7 linked regions of the Xenopus tropicalis genome follow. The protein of the gene in region 1 interacts with the protein of each later gene in a biochemical or structural test. Links are inferred from orthologs where the notes say so. Each region holds a gene or a part of one and is shown on either strand. Other genes may lie near its edges. The genes, in order: snta1, mcm7, slc2a3, scn5a, gucy1a2, wwtr1 and slc16a7.

Region 1 (3,500 bases):
GTTAGATTTTTGCCCAAGTGAGCAGCCATTAATGCTGAGCAGGTTTGGTCATTTCTTTCTGCATTTCAGGTCTATAACATTAAAGTAGGATTGAGCAGGTATTCATAAAATGTTTAAACTCTAAAGCAATAATGTTTTATTATTGTACTAGATACATAAAAGGGGGTTTAGCTTGTAGCCCTACACCTGTTGTCTAGCCTGTGACCACCCAGCTGTTATTTTCCAACAGGTACAGGACCCTCCAACACCCCTGATTTATTATTTCCTCTCTAGATGTGGCTTAACCTTCAACCAAAACTCATAATGGGTTTACATCGGTTATTAGTAAATGGATCCCACAGTGTCAGATTGGAAATTGGCCGGTGTAAGTACAAAATAAGCACTTTCACTCCGTGTCTCTGCTCCCCTTGCAGTGATGCCTCCCACGTTCCCCTCCCAGATTCCCTGGAATGTGCACAGTCCCCTCAACAGCTGTGCGGGAACCATGAAAAGCAGGAAAAAATTCTTGTTCAACAGAAGAAATGGGGAAGAGTTAAACTGAAGCAGTATGTTTATCTATACACTGGCACCCAATAACTAGTAACTAACCCAAATGTTATTCTGTAACTGGCACAGCCGTTCTTATAACTCTGTCTCACAGTGCTAATTATACCCACTTCATATAGATTCGACTGGAAGCCCAGTCTGTACCTATAACTCCTCCTATTACTCCATATACCCCTCCCTATAACTCCTCCTATTGCTCCATATACCCCTCCCTATAACTCCTCCTATTGCTCCATATACCCCTCCCTATAACTCCTCCTATTGCTCAATATACCCCTCCCTATAACTCCTCCTATTGCTCCATATACCCCTCCCTATAATTCCTTCTACTGCTCCATATACCCCTCCCTATAACTCCTCCTATTGCTCCATATACCCCTCCCTATAACTCCTCTTATTGCTCCATATACCCCTCCCTATAACTCCTCCTATTGCTCCATATACCCCTCCCTATACCTCCTCATATTGCTCTATATAACCCTCCCTATAACTCCTCCTATTGCTCCATATACCCCTCCCTATAACTCCTCCTATTGCTCCATATACCCCTCCCTATAACTCCTCCTATTGCTCCATATACCCCTCCCTATACCTCCTCATATTGCTCCATATAAACCTCCCTATAACTCCTCCTATTGCTCCATATACCCCTCCCTATAACTCCTCCTATTGCTCCATATACCCCTCCCTATAACTCCTCATATTGCTCCATATAAACCTCCCTTTATTACTCACCTTCCAGCACCACCTCCTTTCCAGTCTTCTTCAGAGCCTGCACAGCATCATCATGAGTAGCCTCTGACAGGTCTACCCCATTAACAGACAGGATTGCATCCCCCACATATAATGACCCTGTCAAGTCAGCAGCCAGGCCTTTGAAAATCTTGGAGATGAGGATGGGCATCTTGTTCTCCCGGCCACCTTGTAAACAAAAAGATGTCGATTAATCTATTGGTATGGAACTGTTCCTTCAATACATAACTTAAACTAGAGGAAAAAAATCATCCAATCCTAGATAAATGGTATGGCAGTGACACGTTGCACCCCAATACACGTAAGGCGTGTATACAGGCAATGGCTACTCCTTGGGCCATACTCTATGGAGAGTGCAATGCAATGGGGCACAAAGCAGCCTGTACTTTATGCCAGTTGCATGTTGGCTAATGTTACATACTGAAGTTCTGATTGAGTTTTCATTTACATGTATAGAAGCATCTGCAAAAAATAATATTCCTTTTCCAGTCACACTTTCATCTGTTTCTAATTCTGCATTTCTAAAATGTAAGAAACAGACATTTTCAGATGACTCCACAAACTCCAGGGAAATAGCAGCCCAGTTCAACCTTTGCCAAAGAATTTATTTTCTCTGTAATACTCTAGCCTAAAGCGTAAATGGTCTTAAAGGGCTACTGTACCCTTATTTGTTTTAATGCTGAATTGTGCTTAGTACAGGGGAATATCTATACAGGAACTGAGCCCATAAACATGGCACTGCCATTAGTACACTTTGGGCCTAGGGGGGACTGAGCCCATAAACATGGCACTGCCATTAGTACACTTTGGGCCTAGGGGGGACTGAGCCCATAAACATGGCACTGCCATTAGTACACTTTGGGCCTAGGGGGGACTGAGCCCATAAACATGGCACTGCCATTAGTACACTTTGGGCCTAGGGGGGACTGAGCCCATAAACATGGCACTGCCATTAGTACACTTTGGGCCTAGGGGGGACCGAGCCCATAAACATGGCACTGCCATTAGTACACTTTGGGCCTAGGGGGGACTGAGCCCATAAACATGTCACTGCCATTAGTACACTTTGGGCCTAGGGGGGACTGAGCCCATAAACATGGCACTGCCATTAGTACACTTTGGGCCTAGGGGGGACTGAGCCCATAAACATGGCACTGCCATTAGTACACTTTGGGCCTAGGGGGGACTGAGCCCATAAACATGGCACTGCCATTAGTACACTTTGGGCCTAGGGGGGACTGAGCCCATAAACATGGCACTGCCATTAGTACACTTTGGGCCTAGGGGGGACTGAGCCCATAAACATGACACTGCAATTAGTACACTTTGGGCCTAGGGGGGACTGAGCCCATAAACATGGCACTGCCATTAGTACACTTTGGGCCTAGGGGGGGCTGAGCCCATAAACATGGCACTGCTATTAGTACACTTTGGGCCTAGGGGGGACTGAGCCCATAAACATGTCACTGCCGTTAGAAAAGTTTGGACCTAAAGCTTGCTATGCAAACCAGTAGATCTGTGCCTGATTTGGCCACCATCCCAACAATGTGACCCTAAATAGCGCCTCAGGGGACCTGCTGGGAGAGAACGGTATCAATATGCCAATGCAGTCATCACCTGATTTTTTAACCAGCTGATCTGCAGGCAGATATTGGTTGGGCAGGTTTTCATTCACCATTCACAGGCCAATACATTTTTCCTGCAACTCTCTGCCCCAGGATACTGTGAGTCCTTGATCATTTCCTACAAGCGGCTGACCCTTTAGAAAGACAGCAACAGGCTTCAGCTAAATCTGACATGCAAGCCGCTGCTATTTTAGGATTAGCAGTTATGTGACAGAGTAAGGCTGAGTGAGCAGCCCGCCACAAACGGAGTCCGGACCCTCCATTTTTCCAACAAAAACATTCAGCGTTCAGACTTTGCCTATAATGCCAATGCAATAAAACCAGAACAAAATTAATTTCAAGCTTAACTTCCCCTTTAAAAGTCTTAAGAAGTTCCAAAATGCAAGATTCCTATAATATTCTGGTACATGAATATACACTATATCATGTCCCTTAAATTTCCCACGCTCCTTTGTGCTGCAGGGAGAGTAGGTGTTGGGGGGCAGGGAGGAAAGGCAGTCCCGGCAGTGTCCCCCCTCCCAAACAAACCAATATAACAGCATGGGACATTCCTCAGCCAATAAGAGAGAGGGAGAT
Region 2 (3,500 bases), on another chromosome or scaffold:
ATAGTCTATAACCTAGAGAAGTCAGTTCTTCCATACAGGGACTCCTCATCTGCTTACCAGTAATCTGTCGCAGCTCCTCTTCACTCAGCTCTTCTGTTCCGAGTTCATCATCCTCGGTCTTGTTCATTTTCACCAAACGGTGAGATTCGAGGTACGTCTCTGAAAGGAGCCCCTGTAGGAAAAACCACACAAATCACCAGTGAACCCCAAAATTATACAGTTATAACTCAAAAACCATTACAAGTTTGTAAGGAATGTATATTGCTTAGAATTAAGTTTTTTTTATAAGGCAAAAAAATATATTCTGGGTTGACTTGTCCTTCAAACAAATGCTTAGGTAGCCGCGGCCGGGCACTCCCCACAGTACAAAATTGATCATAAAATAGGAATATTATATAGGAATTGCTGTTCTTGTTTACATTTACTCACACAGAAACCTGTACATAAAACCCGCTAAAGGGTAATCCCACCTCACAGCAATATAAGGAAGCTGCTGAGCTAGAATGATGAATTGTAATAACTGTAAATTGTTTATTACCTGTACCACCTGACGGAAGCCAGTTCTTAGCATCGGCAGGAAGACTCCAGTGATACTGACATGGTCCCCGGGCTGAGCGAGCCGCGTGTTCTCCCCACGTACATACACAGACATACAGCGAGGGATGTTCCCAACTGGAACTTGATCACTCTATTGAGAGAGAGGGTTGGAAGACTTAATATCTGCATTGTATACATTTACTCTCATCACTCCAACTTGCAGCGCAGCAGTAAAGTGTGCCTGAGTCTGAGCTTTCAGCCAGCGCTACACATTAGAACTGCTTTCAGCTAACCTATTGTTTCTCCTACTCCCATGTAACTGGAGGAGTCCCAAGCCGGACTTGGATTTCTTACTATTGAGTGCTATTCTGATACCTACTGGGAGCTGCTATCTTGCTCCCTTCCCATTGTTCTGCTGATCGGTTGCTGGGGGTGAGGGGGGGGGGGATATCACTCCAACTTGCAGCGCAGCAGTAAAGTGTGAGTGAAGTTTATCAAAGCACAGGTCACGTGACCGTGCCACCCAGGGAAATGAAGGATATGGCTAGCCCCATGGGAAAAACAGATTACAATGCAGGATTCTGCTGGAGAAGCTCTATTAACTGATGGGTTTATCCCCATCCCATGTCAGTATTGCTTTAAATTTCAGCTACTCACATGTTCTTGAATCTTCAGCTCTTGGAACTTAATAAATTTAGAGCCCCGGGTCTGCAAGTAGAGCCTGCCCCCAGAGCGGTTTGTCTGACACTCCCTGCTGGGACACATTATAAGCGGCATAAAAGTTGGAGATTGAATCTGTAAGAAAAATCAAACCGGTGAGAATCAACAAACTCTGTTGGAAACAATGGAATTCTACAAGTGAAATTATAAATTAGCGACACTCACCGGTTGGTAGGTCTCGGCACCACACTGGTCACATGTGTACGTTGCCACCACCATCATAGGCTTGACTTCTGTGACCCTCGTGACTATGCCCCGAACTGTAACCAACTTGCCGATGGAATCGGCTTTGACATCTCGCACCACGCGGGCTTTTGAGCTGCTCGGAGCTTTGAAGTACAGTTCGCTGCATAGAACACAGGGACGCGGTTTTAGATTATTATTAATGTCATTAAAACCAACCACCAACTGGGCCAGTGAATGGTACTTACAATCTGCGCATAAGCTCTGGGGGGTACTGGTTGTGAGGATCACGGGTCTCACTGGGGTCTCGGCCTCTCTGCTCCATCATTAAGCGGTGCTCAATATACACATCCAAAGCATCTTTATGTACCACCTACAGCAGGAAAGAATAGTAGCCGAGATTATTCTTCCCTAAAACAGAAATGATGCATTTAATTCACATTGCAACTACTGTATTAGGACCAGGATGGATTTCCCATGAAAGACTACAAAGTTATGAATGGGCTTCCATTTCTGTTTCTGATAAACTGAGCAATAAGAACAAAGCTTTATATAATAGGATTTTTGTTACTCACTGTTAAATCCGTCGATAGGGGGGGACACAGGGAACGTACGGGGTTAAGCGCCACCCTCCAAGAGGCAGGACACTTGATTAACAAATTAAAGGGGCGTGCTAGCTGCCGGCATTACCCAATAGGCCCTGATCGAAGTGTTCATATTAGGTCTCACTTGGGACCTAGCTGTCCATCCTCCTGGCAGCAGGACACTTGAAAAACTGATTGGATTGGGTACAGCGGAGGGGTAAATCTGGCAACGGGCACGCCCCTTTAATTTGTTAATCAAGTGTCCTGCCTCCTGGAGGGTGGAGCTTAACCCCCATACGTTCCCTGTGTCCCCCTGAGAAGGCAGAGAAATAGGGACTTCCATATTTGAAATAAGGACTTTGTTGATGGATAATGTTACCTTTAACAGATGAATGCATCAGAGTATTTACAGTTATACAGTATCATATTGTTACTTCTTGTATTGTAGTTTGTATGCCTCACTATGTGAAGTCTGTGGCTAAATACACCATCCCATTGGTGTGGATTATTTACTCTGGCCAGGCTTCACATCCTATAGAAATATAGTATCTAGTAGAAAGCCAAAGCAAATGTACAGGTAACGGACCCCTTAGCTGAAAACCCATTATTCAGAAAGTTAGAATTGCAGAAAGGCCATCTCCCATAGACTCCATTTTAATCAAATCATTTACATTTTAAAAAGGATTTCCTTTCTCTGTAATAATAAAACAGTACCTGTACTTGATCCCAACTAAGATATAATTACCCCCTATTGGGGGCAGAACAGCCCTATTGGGTTTATTTCATGGTTAAATGATTCCCTTTTCTCTGTAATAATAAAACAGTACCTGTACTTGATCCCAACTAAGATATAATTACCCCTTATTGGGGGCAGAACAGCCCTATTGGGTTTATTTCATGGTTAAATGATTCCCTTTTCTCTGTAATAATAAAACAGTACCTGTACTTGATCCCAACTAAGATATAATTACCCCTTATTGGGGCAGAACAGCCCTATTGGGTTTATTTAATGGTTAAATGATTCCCTTTTCTCTGTAATAATAAAACAGTACCTGTACTTGATCCCAACTAAGATATAATTACCCCTTATTGGGGGCAGAACAGCCCTATTGGGTTTATTTCATGGTTAAATGATTCCCTTTTCTCTGTAATAATAAAACAGTACCTGTACTTGATCCCAACTAAGATATAATTACCCCTTATTGGGGGCAGAACAACTCACCTCTCGCTCTTTATACTGGGGCAGCAGCTCCTGAACGGCATCAGCAAACAGGTTTGTGTACCTCCTTGTGTTTTCACAGATTGCATCCACTAACTCGGGGTCCTCCTCGGCCAGGTCATCCAGATCGATGTACAGCGCAACCTGCTCTCTGTGAGCAATATTAGCCTGATAATATAGGGATTAGTCAGGTACAGGTTATATTCTTTTCTGTAGGACTTTTGTACAGTTAACAGATTCTTATATACACAACATTT
Region 3 (4,210 bases), on another chromosome or scaffold:
TTTTATAGCCTTTAGTGTTCAAACTCGTACAGGTTGGACACCCCTGAGGGGAGACCCATTTGTAGTTGCACCCATAGGAACATAACCTAGGTAGGTGAAACCTGATCATGGGAAAGAGCAGCCCCAGAAGCTGAAAGTACAGCGAATGAGAGATCAGTACCGGGGTGAGTACTTGGAGAAGACTGGATTCACTTACCCAGGGGTAATGGACCCAGGTTACTTTATCAGTTATTTTGCAGTCTAATAACAATTATAGTTACAATTACAGTAGAAGGGTAAGAAGGAAGAGAGAATTGGAATGCAGAGAGGGCATCTAACAAAGGATACTTGGGGTATAATAGAATGTTCATAGGGGTTTATAGTTACGTACAGCATTGATCCCAGACAGTTGCTGAGAAAGTTGGAGGATGATGGCGATTGTTATTGGCTGCCGGTACTGGCTGGAGCGGAAGATTTCTAGGATAGACACTGATTTTTCTGCTGCCGTCCTAGCACTCTCATCCTTCATCTCTTGGACATCACTGGCCACGTCTGTAGTGCCACGCAGTTTCCGAAGAACTAGCCGAAGAAATGCATCATGTGACTTTACAGCAATGCACAATGGGAGGGGGTAAAACTGTTATTCCATCTTTTCTTACGTTTGGTATTAGTCTCCCTACTCTCCTTGCTTTCCTACGTGTTCCTTGAAGCCCAGGCTCAAAGTCAGACAGAGCAAGATTTGGGGGTGTATGTTGAGTGTATCCCCATACTTACTCCTCTCAGCTTTTTCATCTTCTTTCTTAACAATGAGCAGGTATCGAGGGCTTTCTGGACAGAAGGGTAGAAGCACGCATTGGATGATGGACAGGAAAACGGTGAGGCCTAACAGCAGAGGCCAAAGGGTCTCAGATCCAAGGATAAACTCTAGGCCAAAAATCTAGAGAATGGCAAAGATATAAGCAAAAAATCCAAATTTAAATGATAGATATAAAGCTTCTTAATGAGTTAATTTAGCCTTTAATCCACAAAAGAACAACATTCTCCATCCCCAAAGCCGTATACTAACCTGTGCCACCAAAATCCCCACCACGATGCCCAGCTGATTCAGGGTTCCCAGAGCTCCACGAAGAGAGGTGGGCGCCAGTTCCCCAATATACATTGGTACCAGGCCAGTACAGAGCCCACAGAAGATCCCAATAATGAAACGTCCAATGATGAGCATCTCTGGGGACCAGGCCAGTTTTGAGAAACCCATGAAAACCCCTCCGACTATGGCAGCCACATTCACAAGCAGCATGGCATTTCTCCTAAGAGATAGGTTAATAATGCACATAGGATTAATACATACAGAATCCATTTTAGGTGTCCCACATCTCTAAACAGAAAGTAAGGCCTCAAGGTCAGGCAAATGGGCGTTTGATGGGTTAAGGGACACAGATTAGACAACACTGATGTAAATTATTAAATAAAACTTACAAGTTTGCATAAGGCCTTGTAACCCTTGGCAACCTTTCATACAGTTGACCAGCAAAGACTACCTGCCAGTTGGTTCCTGAGGATTACCAGACCTGATGCAACGCATGCCCCAGGTCTAGTAACCCATATTATACTAAAAGTTTTCATATTATGCCTTTCTGTTGCCATTTTGTCCTTCTAACGCCATCTACCCTCCGTGTCTCCTCCTTCCCCAAGAGTTGCCATGTTGCCTAATATGCTTGTTATCCCTGTCTCTTCCAACAAGGGAGCTGAGTAGCTGACATATTAATAGACTCAGTGTGTATAGCCGTGCCCTTATGTCTAAATAACGGCCCAAGGGAATGCCACATTACCATAAAGTGCTAAAGCCACCATCTTACCCTTCTTTCGCCATCTTTCCCTGCTGTCACAATATCCCCTATTATGCCTGCTATCTGTCACTCTTCCAACTGCTGCTCTATAGGGAGCTTACATATTAGTAGGTGCAGTGTACAAGACCACCACATAATTGCGTGGACATTATTATATTTTTTTACTAAGCAAATTCCTGAAGAAAGCTCATGATCTGCCCAACCTTGGCACCTATGGCTCTATTAACACAAGTCCAAGGCAAGGCAACCTCTTTGTCCATGTACTTTTTCACCCAAGAGGCCCCTCTGAAGCTGGTGGCCCATGTCAAATGAAAGCCATCTTACCTTCCGAAACGGTTTGCAAAGAAGCCCACTGAGAGGGAGCCCACCATCCCCCCAACAGAGAAGATGGCCACGGATAAAGACCACAGGGATGTGAGGAGACTTTCCGAGATTTCCTTCCCATAGCGGTGCTCGTATGTGCCATTATAAAATGACTTGATGATCTGAAAAGACCAGACATTCAGTAAATGTAATGACCCCCAGAGTTGGAATAACTGGCTCCTCCACTCTTATTGTTTCTCCCGAGCACCACACACCAACACTAATTACACTTTTAATTTGCCAAATAAGTGTCTTCATGAGGAATTTTTACTATTAAACTTGAATTCTCACCTTCTCAGGCGCATTGATCACCCCGGTGTTGTATCCAAACTGCAGGGAGCCAATGGCTGCCACACAAACAGCAAAGACCAGCGAGCAAGTTATTCTGCCCTGAAATGAGAGAGAGTACAGGAACAGCGCCATTAGGGGGATGTGAGGAGTACTGCATTGCTAATTATACACCTAATTCCCAAGGTACCAAATATTATATCGACTAAACACAAAGCTCTTATCTTCTGCACCTCCTGTTCCTGGGCTGCTTTCTTTCCCATGGCCATTGATTAGATGGGCAGGGTCGGACTGGGCGACTGATATCCAACAATTGCCAAGGCTTCAATCTACAAGGCATAATATCTAAATACTAAATATCTAAAATACTAAAATTTACAATTAGTATAGATATTGGTATATACAGTATATATAGATATATATGCAAGTGTATAGTTCAACCCAACTTAACTATGTAACGATATTTAACTTAATGTATGTTCACTCCATGAATACAAAAAATAATCTTGTACTTATTGTACAGCGCTGCAGAATATGTTGGCGCTTTATAAATAAATGTTAATAATAATAATATAACAAAAAAATATCATTTTGCGGCTACTTTTACATTATTTTTGTGCTCCCGGTATTTATTTTATGTGAATATAGAATTCTTAACAACACTGAAAATTATTCTTCAGTGGAAAAACATCATTTTGTGGCTATAAAAGTTTTGTGTTCACAGAATTCATAAGTTTCCAATAAGTGTATGTCAAAGTAAAAAGATATTACGGGAATTCCACAAAATCACAATAGAGCACAACAGTGACTAAAAACTACCCCAACCCTTTGGGTTTTGGAGCCTATGAATCATTTTGTGACTGAATAGGCAAAACATTTGATAGAAGAGGGAAGGCCGTGCGTGTAAGGCTGAACGTATCTCCATCTGTGCTCAGTGACTCAGGGAGAGAATACTGGCGCGGCCTCATCATGGGGAGCAGCACGGGGAGAGGGGCCGGCAGGGTAACCCCATGGGCACCGGCAATATTATCACTAACATTTACTGACTGCTTGGGGTTATATTTGTTACCAGGTAAACAGACAGCGCACCAGGGAAGGCTATCCATAGTGACCAGAGCCATGTGGCATAGATACAGGTATGGGATCTGTTATCTGGAAACCTGGTATCCAGAAAGCTCAGAATGACAGAAAGGCCATCTCCCATAATCAATCTGTAATAATAAAACAGTACCTGTACTTGATCCCAACTAAAATATAATTACCCCTTATTGGGGCAGAACAGCCCTATTGGGTTTATTTAATGGTTAAATGATTCCCTTTTCTCTGTAATAATAAAACAGTACCTGTACTTGATCCCAACTAAGATATAATTACCCCTTATTGGGGCAGAACAGCCCTATTGGGTTTATTTAATGGTTAAATGATTCCCTTTTCTCTGTAATAATAAAACAGTACCTGTACTTGATCCCAACTAAGATATAATTACCCCTTATTGGGGCAGAACAGCCCTATTGGGTTTATTTAATGGTTAAATGATTCCCTTTTCTCTGTAATAATAAAACAGTACCTGTACTTGATCCCAACTAAGATATAATTACCCCTTATTGGGGGCAGAACAGCCCTATTGGGTTTATTTCATGGTTAAATGATTCCCTTTTCTCTGTAATAATAAAACAGTACCTGTATTTGATCCCAACTAAGATATAATTACCCCTTATTGGGGGCAGAACAGC
Region 4 (3,971 bases), on another chromosome or scaffold:
ATTTACCCCAATTCTCTAACTGTACTATTTTACCCCAATTCTCTAACTGTACTATTTTACCCCGATTCTCTAACTGTACTATTTTACCCCGATTCTCTAACTGTACTATTTTACCCCGATTCTCTAACTGTACTATTTTACCCCGATTCTCTAACTGTACTAATTTACCACACTCCTCTAACTGTACTATTTTACCCCAATTCTCTAACTGTACTAATTTACCACACTCCTCTAACTGTACTATTTTACCCCAATTCTCTAACTGTACTAATTTACCCCACTCCTCTAACTGTACTATTTTACCCCAATTCTTCCCCATGGTACTGGATTTACCCCAACACTTTAACTACTGGATTTACAAAAGTCCTATAAATGTACTAGATTTACCCTAATGCTGTAACTCTGGATTCACCCTCCTCCTTCAACTGTACTATTTTACCCCAGCCCTACAAATGTACTTGGTTTACCCAAATTGTCCAGCTGTTCTGGATTTACCCCAGTCCCCCAACTGTATCAAATTATCCCAGTCCTCCAACTGTAGTTGATATACCCCAAACTCCAAATGTCCTGGATTAACCCCAGTCCTCCAACTTTACTTGGCTAGCCAAAATTGTCAAACTGTACAAAATTTACCCGAGTCCTCCAAATTTGATTTACCCCAGTCTTTCAACTGTATTAATATACCCCAATCCCCCCCACTGTACTGGATTTACTGTATTTATCAGATAAGGCGGCTGCGATACTCTTAGTTCTAACGCCCCGCAGACCCGTCACTCCCCGTCTGAACAGGTTTCTCTAGTCCTAAATGGTACTCAGCAATCAGCCTTAATCTTATCAATCTCCCGTGATGTCTTTAGTAGCAGCAGCAGGGCCCTGGGTAAAAAAGACTTTCTGCAACCTGTTATTTATATAGAATGTAGGGCAACCTGCAGCCTCCTTAGCTGTTGTTAAACTACAACTTCTTCCACAACTGAGCGCTTGAAGGCTGGGAAACAGTAATAGAAAGTATTATGCCCGCCATGTTGCCCTTCTGTCTTCATCTTGCCCAACTATACCTGCTGTCCACCGCCAACACACACTCCTACCTACAGCTGCTGCTCCGTGGGGCCCCATTATTGGCAGGGCCCTAAGCAGTCAACCGTACTGTTGTTTAAGAAAAAATAATTTTTTTCCCAAATGTATAGTAAATTAGTAGTAAATTGATGTAAATATATCAATATATATTATATTATACATACAAAAGCACACATATGTGCAATGCAGTGTGCGCAACTTTTCCCTGTATAAATGTGTGTGTGAATATAATATACATACAGTATATACAGTACCCCATTACAAAGCTGTAAAAGCCAATCTAGCCGTAGCCATTTTCAGCATGCCAAGATTTCCAAACTAAAATAAAAATTTACAATAAATCAAATACTGAATCCAAACAAAGGGTTTAAACCCAAATGAAGAAATTTGTTGCTCGCACCCCCGGTTGAATTCAGTAGACGGGGCAATAAGGGCTGAGAGTTGTGGGCGCAAGTCTGGGTATCTGGTTACTAAATGTACAATAGGAAGCAGATGTCTGGCACACACACTCAGCTAGAAGGTAAATAAATGAATTTGATTCAGGAGGCGAAGCCATGCAGCGCGTTCCCAGCACACAGGGTTAGACACATGCCAAGTCTGGGGGATACTTACAGCGCTGGAGAGCTGTCCGCAACAGTTATGACTCCCAGGTCCCCAGAACTGCGGTTAAATTCAGGGGGATTAAACTCCACCGATGGTTCTGCTCTCCCCCCCCCCCCTAAATCTCAGTCCAATTAAAAACTCAGCTCCCGTTGTTATTTGTGGGAGGCACAAGAAGTGGGGAATACGCCAAACCCCCCCACCTCCAGCTGCTGAATTTTGCCAAAGCTGAATAGGAGTAGTGAATATTGAAAAAAAGAAAAAAGCAAGAAGGAAAATAAAAGGGGGGCAAGTTTAGGTATTCCAAGGGGGTGAAGTTGTAGGCAAGGGTGAAGCGTTTAATTACCTGCAGAGGGTTTGCTGAGATTGAGGCTCTGGGATGTGTCCAGTCTGACTAGCAGTTCACAACTGGTCTCAAGGTAAAACCACTCCTCAGTCAACCAGGCAAGCAGCTGCCCCCAGCACTCACTGGGAGGACCAAGTCAAACCCTCTTCAGTTCTCTTGGAATTCCATGTTCCCTCCAAGCCTCGGGGTCCTGTGATAGTGTCAGGACAGGAATGTGGCCAAGAGATTCATGACTGTGCAAGCCCTAAAACCCAGCCAAGCCACCTCCACCTTCCCACCCAGCTGCTCCACCACAACTGCACACTTAGCCAAAGTAGGCTGAGATCCACCAAGGAGCAAAGAGCCCTCCTGTTCTGCGCAATAGGGTTTGCTGAATGCAAATTCAGATTAAAAAGGCAAATGAAATGTTAATAGCTGGTCCCAAACTGGAAGTCTAATCCTTTCTGGGGAAAAGCCATAAAATCATTATTAAAATCACAGTGAAACTCCCAGGCAGGCTGGTCCAGCTGGTTTCTCCTCTCCTGTGGTCAGGTAGTAACGCAGAGGCAGCTCCAAAGTTAGCATCCAAGAAGCTGAAAGTTTCATGGAAAAGCAAGAGTCTTGCAAAGTATTTGCTCCAGCTGAGATTCCCTTTCTGGCACTGTGGGAGCTGATCTAGCTGCACCTTACTGTGGGCTCCAGAGAAATACAAAGAGAATTGCTTCCACCTGCCAATGCAAAGCCTGGGGCAGGTGCGATCTCTAGCATGTTGTCTTCATAATAAGCACAACAGGGAGCACTCTCCACTGAAAGGGATGTGGCTGCAATATTCCCCAGCCAGTCACTCCCTTATACGAACCTCCCATAAGCAACTGTGCACGTACAAACGCTGGATCGTTAGCGCCACCTAGCGGCAGGCTGAATACGCTCGGAATGGAATCCAGCGCTGCGCAGATTTCGTGCTCTTTCAATCCGATTAACTCTTTTTATAATCAATGTGCAGTGATTTTGCCATCATTTGCCTTAAGGAACCAGACGATTATCATGACTAAACAGCAAGAGTTTTATAAATCTCCCTAGAAACAAAAATAAATCATTACAGCACAGTCAGGGTTAATTTTAGGTGAATGTCTCTTTATGTATTAGGTTTTACGAGAGATGTTAGAATTTAAACTCCAAATCTAAAATAATGTGCCCTCATCTATTATTCCATTATTTAACCCCCTAAAGGGGTAGTATAAGCTTAATAAGAGGTAGAGGTGATTCTATCTCTTATTTTGTAGTTTTTTTATATTTACATTTTTTCTTGTGCAGCTGTGACGCTTGGAATTCTAACAGCAATCTCGTTGCTAGGGCTCAACTGCTCAGCAACTAGGAAGAATAGCCGAGGGCCTGAATATAAAGATTAGCATTATTCATTTATTTATTTGTTTGTTTGTTTATTCGTTCTTGCTGGGATAATTTTTTAATTGCAGGTAGAAATGAGGCAGACATAGAAGGTCAATAATGAAACCTCATCCAATATAAAAAAAAATAATAAGGATTGAATAGGCCAATCTACTAAAACTTTATAGAAAGGTAAATTATCCCCCCACTGCTACTATAGGCACCATCTCTCCCTACTATACCTGCTATCCCACAGCCCCAGTCCCTTCCCAGAGGCTATTATCCCCCCACTGCTACTATAGGCACCATCTCTCCCTACTATACCTGCTATCCCACAGCCCCAGTCCCTTCCCAGAGGCTATTATCCCCCCACTGCTACTATAGGCACCATCTCTCCCTACTATACCTGCTATCCCACAGCCCCAGTCCCTTCCCAGAGGCTATTATCCCCCCACTGCTACTATAGGCACCATATCTCCCTACTATACCTGCTATCCCACAGCCCCAGTCCCTTCCCAGAGGCTATCATCCCCCCACTGCTACTATAGGCGCCATCTCTCCCTACTATACCTGCTATCCCACAGCC
Region 5 (4,127 bases), on another chromosome or scaffold:
AAATGGCTGCTACACAAAACCGCACATACACCTTAACTGTTACACTGGCAAACTTGTTTATTTTATAATTAGTCTTCTTAATGAGCCCTTGCCAAGAGGGAAAAAATCTGGTTACTTATAGGCAACCTGAGGCCAGACTTGGCTTGTAGGCTTTGGTCTGTAAACTGCTTAAGGGCTAGAGTTCTTTTTCAGGTATTGTTGTATATTGGCATAAAAGGCAATGTTTTATTATTAGAGAAGAACAGAAAATTAGGGAAAAATGAATAAATGTTTAAACGTTAAGCAGTGAACGGCATTGCCATGTTTTAACATTCTGGATACTGGGTTTGCACATCCTAAAGCAACTGATAACAGGGGCTATACTGGCTGTTATGTAACATAGAAGGCTACGGCATTTCCCTCTTGCCCGACTGCTGCAAAGGCCGAATTGTCAAGGATTTAGGAATGAGCTAAACTCTCTGTTTCAATTATTTCTTTCAGCATCACTTAACATGTTCCTTGTCTATGAAGCCAGAGGGGAATGGCAATACATGGCCTCATTCTCACCCCAACACCTCACTGCCATTTACAGATCCCCCACCAAATTCTCATTTCCCTGTTTCATTCTGGTGCCACATTCACGTGAGGATGGAGCTCAGAATGAACCTACTGCTCGGTCTGGTAGTATCTCAGGCACACAGGCATGTTCCCTTGCCATTTGGTTTCATTACAGTGCTAACAGCATACCCAATCCCTTGCCATTTGCACATTACACACATTGTGCACAAACTCTCAGTAATGTAGTGTTGCCTGTGCCTTTTAGCATGGGGGCCCCAGAATCACAGGGGCCATTTGGGTAAGCTGACCACACCACCTCTCACAAACCAGGAAGCACGTACAGGGCAGGACAGATAGGGTTTGAATAGATCCCTGCAGCACTTCCCTTTAAATGTAATAAAACGATCTAGTCAGACACATTTGCGAGAAAAAAGTGTATGTAGAATATATATCTCTATTTGCCCTTAGGTAGGGAACCCCAGCCTTTTGCAATTCCCAGGGCCCCCATTTAACTTTGTTAACATTTGGGATTTTACTTCTTATGTTCTTATGCCAATAAGAGCCTTTAACAGAACTCCTTAGCCAAGCGCCTCCGTGTATCTCTCCTCGCTCTGCATTTTGCCCACGCACCCTGTGCAGATGTGCCTAACTCTCCCCATCGCCCATTGTGATATCATCTACAGCCTTGGCATTTAACCCCTTAGCAACCTAGAGCATCTGCCATAAACTGCCAACTGCAGCACAAAGCTTCTTCTCTCCAGCACTGGTGAGGTTAAACCCAGAGACATGCCTGCTACCAATACAGACATCATTTAATGTGCTATGCAGAGCGTTAACTGCAATCAATGGAGGCAATAATGCTGGCATTCATATGTGAATAGCATTCCTGTCCGTATCCTAATATATATATGTACATACACCTTACTGATGTTTATTGGGAATTACAGGTACACTACTTAGTTACCTATCTAGTGTTATTACATATTTAAAATTTCTAGTATATATATATAAACTCCCTTTAATTAATTATACTGGTTAATGCTGAATGGATCTCTATATGAATGCCCATAGCCACCACACACACACAGACCCCTAACCCAATAAGGATGCTGGGAACTTTAATTCAACCCCAGCTGGGGGTACAATAGCCATACCCGCCTACTCACAGCAAAGTGTAAGAGCTCTAGGTAAATGCCAGTGGGTGCCAGGGCAGTAATGAGCATATGCCCCAGGGCCAGGGCAGTAATGAGCATATGCCCCAGGGCCAGGGCAGTAATGAGCATATGCCCCAGTGCCAGGGCAGTAAGGAGCATATGCCCCAGGGCCAGGGCAGTAAGGAGCATATGCCCCAGTGCCAGGGCAGTAAGGAGCATATGCCCCAGGGCCAGGGCAGTAATGAGCATATGCCCCAGAGCCAGGGCAGTAATGGGCATATGCCCCAGAGCTAGGGCAGTAATGAGCATATGCCCCAGAGCCAGGGCAGTAATGAGCATATGCCCCAGGGCCAGGGCAGTAATCAGCATATGCCCCAGGGCCAGGGCAGTAATGAGCATATGCCCCAGGGCCAGGGTAGTAATGAGCATTTGCCCCAGGGCCAGGGCAGTAATGAGCATATGCCCCAGGGCCAGGGCAGTAATGAGCATATGCCCCAGGGCCAGGGCAGTAATGAGCATATGCCCCAGGGCCAGGGTAGCCCAATGCCATTGGTTGCAGCAGGGGAAGGCTGCCCTGTCCCCAGTGGGGGTGCAAAGGAATCTCCTGCCTGGGTGCCTGGATACCAGGAGAGATGGAAGCTCCCCCCCACCCACCCCCGGTCCCCGGGCAAGTGAATGAGGCTTTACCGTAGGGGAGGTCAGTTTCCGGATACTCTCCCCCAGAGAGTCCAGATTGACCCGTCTCCTCCTGGTTGCCCTCTTGGGTCCAATGACCGGCTGAGGGTGCTGCTCTTGAGGTGGGCTCCTGCTGCCATTCCAGCACAGCCGGGCTAAAGGGCATTCAGCATCCTCCTCCGGGCTGGTCTCAAGGTAGTCCGACCCCAGCGAGCTGAACGATTCCGATGAGATCTTCCTCCTGGACATGCTGCTGAGGCTGCTGGGTAAAGGAACCGCATGAGATGCAGGGCTGTGCGGCTCCGTCAGGCTCTAGCAACACTGCTCATGCCGGGGAAGTGAGCCTCTCAGTCTCCTGTCAGGGTTCCACCTTCTCATTTATATACACGCACTGTGCCTGGGATCCCCCCCCTCAGCAGCAGCCCTTCCTTTTGTCTCTCTCCCCTGTGTGTGTGCAGCAGCGGCAGTGACTCTCTGGGCAGCACCGTGCTGTGTGGCGCCTCTTCCCTTTCCCTCTGTCTTTTAAAAGAGGCTGCGCTTCCCTCTCTCATCCTCCCTGTCTGTGCCTTCCCGGCTGCGTATCTCTCCGCTGCTCAGTGCATCACGTGTTCCTGCCGGGGGCTCTCCTGCCTGTCACCCAAACCCATTGGCAAAGCGGGACGCACTTTCCCAGGAGTTAGCGTGAGGGAGGGGGGACACTGCGCTTCCTTTGCTCCGGCCGGAGAGAAGCGGCTGATGGATTGCAGCTGGGAGATATAATTACTGTGAGAATGCAAAGGGGCACATAGGCCATGCATATGTCCTGTTATATACACAGGCGCAACTCTTCCCCCTCAGCCATACACTGGCAGCCTTACATATACACAGTGAGCATCAGCTCTAGTGCCTTTCCTTTCCCAGCCCCCCCTCTCTCACACAGTGGTATGCTCCTTATGCCCCATCTCCACACGTTGCATGCAAAACATATGTCCAGGTCTTTACCACCATCTTCCATATGCCCTAGCCTCTCTGTCCCAGCATTCCCATATAAACACTGACATTTGTATGCCATTATCTCTCATATACAGTAACGTGTCTATCCCATAATCCCTCATTTATACTGTGATATGTCTGTCACACCATCCCACATATACATTAACATGTCTATCCCATCATCCCTCATATACACCGACATGTTTATCCCATCATCCTCTATTATATACTGACAGATTATCCCAGCTTCCTGATATTTCCCCTCAAGTACAATAACATGTTTATCCCATCATCCCCTGTTATAAACTAGCTGACTTTTAGCTTCCATGTCCTTCACCACACATTCTGTGACAGGTCAGTATCATCATCCCTCATATACACACCCACATGTCTCTCTCTTCATCCCTCATATACACCGACATGTCTCTCTCTTCATCCCTCATATACACCCACATGTCTCTCTCTTCATCCCTCATATACACCGACATGTCTCTCTCTTCATCCCTCATATACACCGACATGTCTGTCTCTTCATCCCTCATATACACCGACATGTCTGTCTCTTCATCCCTCATATACACCGACATGTCTCTCTCTTCATCCCTCATATACACCGACATGTCTCTCTCTTCATCCCTCATATACACCGACATGTCTGTCTCTTCATCCCTCATATACACCGACATGTCTCTCTCTTCATCCCTCATATACACTGACATGTCTCTCTCATCATCCCTCATATACACCGACATGTCTATCTCTTCATCCCTCATATACACCGACATGTCT
Region 6 (3,500 bases), on another chromosome or scaffold:
ATTAGTTTAAGCAGACTGTGATTGTCTATTGTTGTGACTTACATGAAGATCAGATCACATTTTATGACCAATTTCTGCAGAAATCCATATAATTCCAAAGGGTTCACATACTTTTTCTTGCAACTGTAGATTCCTAGTCAAGAGAAATATAGAGGCCATCAGAGGCAATCAGTATTTGCTATGATTGGCCACAGAGGGAATAGCCATTGGGAGCTTATGGGATGTGATAATGCTCATTTCCATATTTTGAAGTAGTAATCATGGGCCAATGGCTATGCGTGATGCTTTCTGTTTGTTGTATTTAGTGGGGAGTGCCCCAATGACAATGATCACTGTAACTTTTCCAAGAAAAATATGTTCAAAATGCTGCATTCATTGTTGTAAGGGAAATGTATACCTTTATAACCTTGTAGTGAAATAGAAGTTAATTTCTTCTTTTTTACACCTAATGCCAATTACAAAGGGGAAGGTTACTTTTATTTAACACTGTAGCTTACATATCTAGGGCACTCCCATAGGTGATGTTTCAGCATTTTCAAATTTAAACTGCTCAGAAATATATGGCTGGGATTAGCCAAGGATCAGGCAGTAGGCTTCCAAAGTGGGTGGCCTAGGGACAAGTATGTGCATAATACTTCCTTGTTGCCTTAACTACAATGTAACTCTACCATGACAGTTTGTTAATTAGTATATTTGTAAGATAGGGTTATTTTTAAAATGTAATCCAAAGGTCTGTGCTCATCAGCCTGTGTGAAATTCTGTTTTCATGTTTTTTTTAGTTTTGTTTCTTGTCTGGAATGAGCTTTTCTTAAATTGATTTTATTCAGACGAAATGATGGACCTTTTTGCTTTGCAAATACATCTTTATGGACTGTGATTGATAAAGCGGGGCCCATGGTTTGCTAGAATAACCTGATTTTCTTTCCGACAATGAGAGGCAAACCTGCAGGCCCAGCCTTGGCCATAAATATATATCCCCGTACATTCTAGCATGCCATCAATATATATTGGTGGTTCAAGCAAATCATTAATAGAGTTTGCCGTGATGCTTTAGGTGCATGCTTTCACTGCAATCCTGCTTTTCTGTTTATTTACAGTGATGAACCATCCCCAACAAATAACTTCCAGCCCTGCCATACCTCAACAGAACCATCCGACCCAGAATCCTCAAGCAGCGCTAATCAATTTGCCCAATGCTCTTACCACCCAGCAACAGCAGCAACAGAAACTTCGGCTTCAACGGATCCAGATGGAGAGAGAGAGAATCCGGATGCGTCAGGAGGAGCTGCTGAGACAGGTAATTATCAATAAACAACCATGGTTGTGTAATAGTTATAGGTACTTGTGCCTTAAACCACTGGACAAGAAGATCCTTGGAACATTGGCCAGGGTCTCTCTTGCTACACCAGTCAGTTGCTGAATGTTTTAGGGTTAGGGACTTTGATGATTTTGGAAGGGGAAGGGTATTCATATCTTTAGTGCTTTTTATTACTATTGTGTATGTACCGTGCAAGGATGGCTGTATTTAGCAAATGTCTTGATACCATAGTATGATGGTTCAGGCTGGTATGTCCTTAAAGGAACAGTTCAGTGTAAAAATGAAACTGGTAAATGGATAGATTGCGCAAAATAAAAGATGTTTGCAATATAGTTAGTTATTATTTAGGCAAAAATGTAATGTATAAAGGCTGGAGTGGGCAGGTGTCTAACAAAACAGCCAGAATTCTACTTCCTGCTTTCAGCTTTCTAACCTCTTAGTTAGTCAGTGACTTTAGGGGGGGGGGGCACATGGTACATAACTGCTCAGTTAGTTTGTGAGCATGCAGGTCAGATTCAAATACAGACTAACTGAACAGTTATGTCCCATATGCCCCCCCTCAAGTCAGTGATTGGCTACTGACTGCTAACAGCTTAGAGAGCTGAAAGCAGGAAGTAAAGTTCTGGCCATTAGGTTAGACAACTGCCCACTCCAGCCTTTAAAGATTACATTTTTGTCTAACTATATTAGAAATTTTGCTCATTCTATTTTTACACTGAACTGTTCCTTTAAAAGCTGTAGCCTCAGTCTATTTGCCCCCCATAAATCACAGAGAGGGCTTGTCCTATTTTTAGGTCCCTGCCTGTTATACACTCAAATTCAGAGATTATTCATGGGAATAATTGTTAATAAAACAGTTGGATATTTCTACACATAGCACATGCCCCAGACATTCCTTTCTTTGTGCCAAGCATATGGGCATATTATTTTCTAGGCAGTGGGCTTTTGTTTTGCTTTTTATTTTCATTGTCTTTGGGTGCTGGGCTGAAAGTAAAATGCTGGGAGTTTGGGGGACATTGTAGTGCTAATATGCCTGATCACAAAGGAAGGCATGCTGTCTTAAATGGAATGGGTGCATTCTGATGTCATGCATGTTAAGATGTCATCAAAATGGCAGTTGGCTGGCTCAGACCAGCAATGAGTTCTTTTATGTCCATTCTCGAGTGTAATAGTGTGATGAAACTGTTCTTTGGATGTCATTGCAGTTGTGCTTAATAGAGATTTCAGTGAACCAAACCTTTGTTTTAAAAGAGTTGTTGGGCTATTGGAATATGTTGGTCAGTAATGGAATCTGAAAGCTGCTTAATCCATGTCAAGGGCAGCTCTTACCACACAAACAATTTGCTGTAGCAATGGAGACATTTATTATGGACATTGTGCTTCTTTTACAATAAAGGGTTTAGGTTCTCCTTAAAATACATTTATAATACTGCATCCACACCAGTGGTTTTCTTCTGCAATACTGCTGCAATACTGTTGTATTGGCTCTGAGTTGTAGTTCAGCAATAGCTGGAGGCCCACAGCTAGAAATGACTGATCCAAAGAGTAGAGCAGACAGTCCACCCCCCGTGATGTATTGACTGCAAGAACTATGCAGTTCCTCCGCTAATCTTTCAACCCTCTATTGTTTCCTTTAATGCGACCTGGACAGAGAAGAAAATGCTGACTTAATGCTGCTTGTCGTTGCTGAGCAACAGGAACAAGATTGAAGGGCTTGGGTGAAAGGGTGTGGAATTTTTTTGGCAGGTCTCCTAACTCCACTTTTAACCTGACAGCAGTCACTAAGTGGCAATCCAGCAATTCCAGACCTGACAGCTGCTTGGTTTGCAACAGACACACCCAGCAGAGAGAGAATATCAGTTTCAGGGAGGTTTCCTATTGGGGTTTACATCTTACAAGGTGAAACTGGGGGAACCTCTGGCAGCCAATTACATTTTAGCAAATACTATTTATGTACAAAGTAGTTTGTATTTGTCTTATTTCTAGGTGGATTTTCATATTATACCAACAAGATCATTGACTCCTGATCATGGCAAGACTGGGGCAGGAACTGATTTGAATGATTATATATATCAGTGCTAAATAAGGAAAGGAAAATAATGATAGGTAGGCAATAGCAAATCTACTACAGATCCTGATCTCTAATCTGATTGGTTGTCCCAGCCATCAGTTTGGCTACTGT
Region 7 (3,993 bases), on another chromosome or scaffold:
TTTTCATCCTGCTTCTGGTAATTCTGATCTGGACTCTACTATCCCTTGTGTGAAGTACCTTAAACTTTTACCAGCCATTTGTATGTCTGTTTACAAAGTCTCTTGTTCCCGATTGTCAGGCACCTGTCCTGCATGTGCTCAACTTTGGCTCTCTCCCTGGTGCCAACTAAACCCTCAAAAAGGGCAATTGGCCCCTGTTCCTGGCAGAATGCTTCTTAGATTGAACTAAAACAAGCAGATAAAACAAGTCACAGATTTTTTTTTGTTGTCTTTTGACACTGGCATTTTCACTCCTAAACAACTCTGGCAAGATATATTCAAACCAGCATGCATTTTTGAATGGTGTTAGTAATATCATTCAGCAGACATCTTTGTGCCAGAGAAAATTGCAGTAAGAAATTTCAAGTGAGAAAAAGAGATAATAAATCCTCTGCCCTGTCTCATATCAATATATTAAGAACATTAAGCAGGGACACGTAACTGTCCTTAGGCTGAAGAGGTGGCAAAAAGCCGCTCCTGGTAACTTCAAGAGCTGAAATTTCATTTTTTTTTCTGCTTTCTGCGCTAGCAATGTGGCTCTCCCTCAGCCCTCTTTGATGCAAAAAACCTAAATATGGAGGCAGGGCCACCATTACAACAAAATTATATGGGCCCTGCAAGGATCCTAATGGTTACAAATACAAAAACCATTGGTGGCCAGGGGCTCTATTGGTTTAAAAAATAAATAATTGAACCCTAAAATGTATACACATAAGCCTGTAAATGACACAGCCCAGGGCCCAATCAGTGACATTATTGATGGTTGATATGTGATGCTCATGCTGTCAATGCCATTCTTTTCAGGGGTAAATTTACTGGCACAATTGCCATATTATTTCCATGATGTAGCAATTCTTCCATGAGTTCCGGCATTGTTGCACTCACAATTGCAGCTGATGCATCAAAATTAGAGAAAGGGGGCGGCCTCAGGGCGCCGGGCTATCAAATCTGGCCCTGATCCCATGTCAATTTTTCCAATGTTCCCCAGCATCCCCCCTGTGCCATTCTATTCTCCAATCTCCACTGCTTAAGTCCTAGTAGAGCCACATGGGACTGGAAGCTGAACTTTTTCCCATGCCTATCCAATCCCCATGCAGCTCCGCCGGGACTTAATTACTGCGGAAAAAATGAGCAGTATAGAGAGCTGTGTAGGGCAAAGAAAATGCAGGGGCCCCAACTTCACCCTCCCATTCTGAGTCTGCAGCTCACTGATAGTACTGGTGGCCCGAACCGGGATAAAGGAGTAAAGTATGGCCAGCATTCCCTTAAGACCAATAACTTACTGGACCTGGGAGAACTGTCCCCCCATGATGGTGGCCCTGTGCGGAGGGGCAGCACTAGCGGCCAAAACACCCCTGACATGATATTCTATATATGACTTCTCGAATATAAATGTATTCGAGAAGTCTAGAGGATATGTCTTAAAAAATAAAAAAAAGTTGCCGTTGTACTACAAAGACTCGGCTTACTTGCAAAGGACACTGCTACTAGCAGTAAAGTGCACAAAATATAAATTACTATCTTCTGGTTTTTACTAGCTGGAACATCATTAATATGGAAATTAGGATAGATAGGACTCAACCCTACAAAACAGGGAACAGGCAACACGCAAGACAGAAGGAAAAGTAGACAGTAGTATTTTTGTTTTTTCAATATGGGCAAATTATGATGAGTCTCTGTGAACAGAAAATATAGGCATTAACATGGCAGTGTGTAATTCCTGCATGCAGAGAAAGTGTTTTTTGGAGCTGCAGTGCAGCATAGCACCAGCACTGAACTAGGCTTTTTTTCAGTTCCTCTTTAATTTTAAAATTATGTCAGTACAACATATATTTAATATGTAGAGCACATGTGCTGTCAAATGATCAGTATATTTATTATTACATTGAAAGAAAAGAACAGTTTCACCTAGAGTATTGACCTTTAGCACAAAAAAGGTTGCAAAACTAAAAGGAAACAACAGTTATTATATACATATATTATGCCAATATCAAAGGGGCTGTTTACATTTAGATTAAGATTTTGTAAATTAAATTAAGATTTTGTATGATGTTTTCAGCAGAATTATGTTTGTGAATAGTCTTTATTTCTTAAACTCCATGTTTTCTTTAATTAAAAAGTTGTATATATATTTGCAGCTTTCAGGCTTGGAATTTAAACTAAATGCTTGCTAGGGGTCAGTGAAAATGACTAACAGATAGCATTTTCATTTGCAAGCTGGAAAGAAGCAGAATAGTATGTTGCTTAGAACTGGTCCTTATACAATGTCATTTTTCAGTGTGAAATGTTTTGAAGATTCCAAGTAGATATCTTGATTTATGTACAAGTATGGGCTCCAATATACAGAAACCTGTTAGTGATTATATTTTTTTGCATGTGTAAATGTGCCCAGTTTGTTTGTTTTTCTGTCTTAAATATGATTATATTTTTAAATGATATATTTCTCAATGATACAAATAAAATATAATTAACTTATATATTTTACAAAGGTGAATAGCTTGAAAACACCATAATTGAATAACTTAAAATTCCTTACCTCCTGCATACATGACAGCCAACATAATTGATGATATCCAAGCAATTTCACTATATGAGGTATTGAATATCTCTTGGATTTCCTTGAAGAATACTGTAATGGCTTTAGGAAATGCATAAGAAAATCCAATTGAAATAAATGACCCAAAGACCACAACCCATCCCCAGCCTCCATCTGGGGGAGTGTACTGTAGAGTCACTGGTATGTCGGGCATTTTTCAAAAACTTTCTGTAAAAGAGAAAATATATATATAAATAAATGAAACAGTACTCTTATTAAGTTTCATCGTCATAAAATAAACGGGGAAAGAGTTCAGAGACGTTCATAATGAGGACAAACATATATAAAAACAACACTGCCCTAGATGATATAAATATTTGCACTGAGGTAATTTGATAGTAATGTAAAAGTAATCATGAAGAAATTAGGACAGTAGGATTATTATAAAAGTAATCCAAACCCTGTCTAGGTGATTTTCAACTAGATGGCAAGTGGTTTTATGACTGCAATAACATGCACCCTGTAATCTGGTCCTGGGAACTATCCATAGGTGGATTTGAACCTTTTGCTTTTTTGCTCTGGGCTAAAGAGTCAGGCTGTATCTTGTTCAGTTAATTGTACTTGAGACTTGTCACTTCAGTCTATGTTTCTAGTTTTGCTAATTACGCTCAGCTACACTGCATTAACCAGCTGGTGCTGTTTGTTGTATGACATCTCCCTCTGTGTGTGCCTTAATAAAGCCCAGTCCTGCACTTTGTCCTTGCTTGTGATATGTCTTGTTCCCCGAGATCCTTCAATACTTGAATCCTGATTCTGATCATGTTTCTAGCTGTGACTTTGTTTGTAGTCCTTGTTACTGCTCATAGCCCTGTTACCTATTTTGGCTTAGTTTCCTTGATCCTGCACTTTGTTTTGACCTTATCCTGTCTTACCTCTTACTAAATAGTTCTATCTTTTGCTCCTAAAATGACCCTATGTAGGATCTAACCTACCACTGGCTAGTCACAGGGTCCCTCTTCCCCCATCTCCCACTTCACTGGGGCCTTCCTTACTCCAGGCTTCTGGCATTTACCTATCCTACCTAATATACTGTTAGAAGTCATATGATATCCTGAGACCAATGGGAACCTCACCAAAGACAGAAAGGTTGCCTACGCCTCTTCCCCACCCACACTTAGACAATCCATCTAAGACCAATAAACTGAGTGGGGACTAACAGCTAGAGCAGCAGATCTCAACCTGTGGTTTGGGACCCCTTTTGGTGTCGAACGACCCTTTCACAGGAGTCGACTAAGACCATCAGAAAACATATATTTCCAATGGTCTTGGGAACTGAGACAATGCTCCTTTATGGTTGGGGGTCACCACAACATGAGGAACTGTATTAAAGTGTCACAGCATTAGGAAGGTTGGGAACC

Evidence for each region.
Region 2: the proteins of snta1 (region 1) and mcm7 interact in a test that uses a peptide from one of them, tested with the Homo sapiens proteins (2 studies listed by BioGRID and IntAct). The link is inferred for Xenopus tropicalis from reciprocal best matches to the Homo sapiens genes SNTA1 and MCM7.
Region 3: the proteins of snta1 (region 1) and slc2a3 interact in a test that uses a peptide from one of them, tested with the Homo sapiens proteins (2 studies listed by BioGRID and IntAct). The link is inferred for Xenopus tropicalis from reciprocal best matches to the Homo sapiens genes SNTA1 and SLC2A3.
Region 4: the proteins of snta1 (region 1) and scn5a interact in a test that uses a peptide from one of them, tested with the Homo sapiens proteins (2 studies listed by BioGRID and IntAct). The link is inferred for Xenopus tropicalis from reciprocal best matches to the Homo sapiens genes SNTA1 and SCN5A.
Region 5: the proteins of snta1 (region 1) and gucy1a2 interact in a test that uses a peptide from one of them, tested with the Homo sapiens proteins (3 studies listed by BioGRID and IntAct, with this or other methods). The link is inferred for Xenopus tropicalis from reciprocal best matches to the Homo sapiens genes SNTA1 and GUCY1A2.
Region 6: the proteins of snta1 (region 1) and wwtr1 interact in a test that uses a peptide from one of them, tested with the Homo sapiens proteins (2 studies listed by IntAct, with this or other methods). The link is inferred for Xenopus tropicalis from reciprocal best matches to the Homo sapiens genes SNTA1 and WWTR1.
Region 7: the proteins of snta1 (region 1) and slc16a7 interact in a test that uses a peptide from one of them, tested with the Homo sapiens proteins (3 studies listed by BioGRID and IntAct, with this or other methods). The link is inferred for Xenopus tropicalis from reciprocal best matches to the Homo sapiens genes SNTA1 and SLC16A7.

What each region holds. Positions count from the first base shown.
Region 1 is NC_030686.2:41,872,652-41,876,151, reverse strand, and holds part of snta1 (alpha-1-syntrophin), read right to left. Parts: intron 1,468-3,500; coding exon 1,282-1,467; intron 1-1,281. UniProt on the Homo sapiens protein: Adapter protein that binds to and probably organizes the subcellular localization of a variety of membrane proteins. May link various receptors to the actin cytoskeleton and the extracellular matrix via the dystrophin glycoprotein complex.
Region 2 is NC_030679.2:144,214,356-144,217,855, reverse strand, and holds part of mcm7 (DNA replication licensing factor mcm7), read right to left. Parts: intron 3,412-3,500; coding exon 3,247-3,411; intron 1,814-3,246; coding exon 1,689-1,813; intron 1,604-1,688; coding exon 1,423-1,603; intron 1,333-1,422; coding exon 1,195-1,332; intron 689-1,194; coding exon 539-688; intron 173-538; coding exon 58-172; intron 1-57. UniProt on the Homo sapiens protein: Acts as a component of the MCM2-7 complex (MCM complex) which is the replicative helicase essential for 'once per cell cycle' DNA replication initiation and elongation in eukaryotic cells.
Region 3 is NC_030683.2:9,034,582-9,038,791, forward strand, and holds the start of slc2a3 (solute carrier family 2, facilitated glucose transporter member 3), read right to left. Parts: upstream 2,801-4,210; 5' UTR 2,747-2,800; coding exon 2,711-2,746; intron 2,580-2,710; coding exon 2,481-2,579; intron 2,312-2,480; coding exon 2,151-2,311; intron 1,287-2,150; coding exon 1,046-1,286; intron 917-1,045; coding exon 754-916; intron 559-753; coding exon 371-558; intron 1-370. UniProt on the Homo sapiens protein: Facilitative glucose transporter. Can also mediate the uptake of various other monosaccharides across the cell membrane. Mediates the uptake of glucose, 2-deoxyglucose, galactose, mannose, xylose and fucose, and probably also dehydroascorbate.
Region 4 is NC_030682.2:13,453,950-13,457,920, reverse strand, and holds the start of scn5a (sodium channel protein type 5 subunit alpha), read right to left. Parts: upstream 2,801-3,971; 5' UTR 2,021-2,800; intron 2,014-2,020; exon of another isoform or gene 1,687-2,013; intron 1-1,686. UniProt on the Homo sapiens protein: Pore-forming subunit of Nav1.5, a voltage-gated sodium (Nav) channel that directly mediates the depolarizing phase of action potentials in excitable membranes.
Region 5 is NC_030678.2:160,343,831-160,347,957, reverse strand, and holds the start of gucy1a2 (guanylate cyclase soluble subunit alpha-2), read right to left. Parts: upstream 2,801-4,127; 5' UTR 2,616-2,800; coding exon 2,379-2,615; intron 1-2,378. UniProt on the Homo sapiens protein: Has guanylyl cyclase on binding to the beta-1 subunit. Isoform 2 acts as a negative regulator of guanylyl cyclase activity as it forms non-functional heterodimers with the beta subunits.
Region 6 is NC_030681.2:122,384,473-122,387,972, reverse strand, and holds part of wwtr1 (WW domain-containing transcription regulator protein 1), read left to right. Parts: intron 1-1,097; coding exon 1,098-1,297; intron 1,298-3,500. UniProt on the Homo sapiens protein: Transcriptional coactivator which acts as a downstream regulatory target in the Hippo signaling pathway that plays a pivotal role in organ size control and tumor suppression by restricting proliferation and promoting apoptosis.
Region 7 is NC_030679.2:63,069,974-63,073,966, forward strand, and holds the start of slc16a7 (monocarboxylate transporter 2), read right to left. Parts: upstream 2,801-3,993; 5' UTR 2,790-2,800; coding exon 2,576-2,789; intron 1-2,575. UniProt on the Homo sapiens protein: Proton-coupled monocarboxylate symporter. Catalyzes the rapid transport across the plasma membrane of monocarboxylates such as L-lactate, pyruvate and ketone bodies, acetoacetate, beta-hydroxybutyrate and acetate.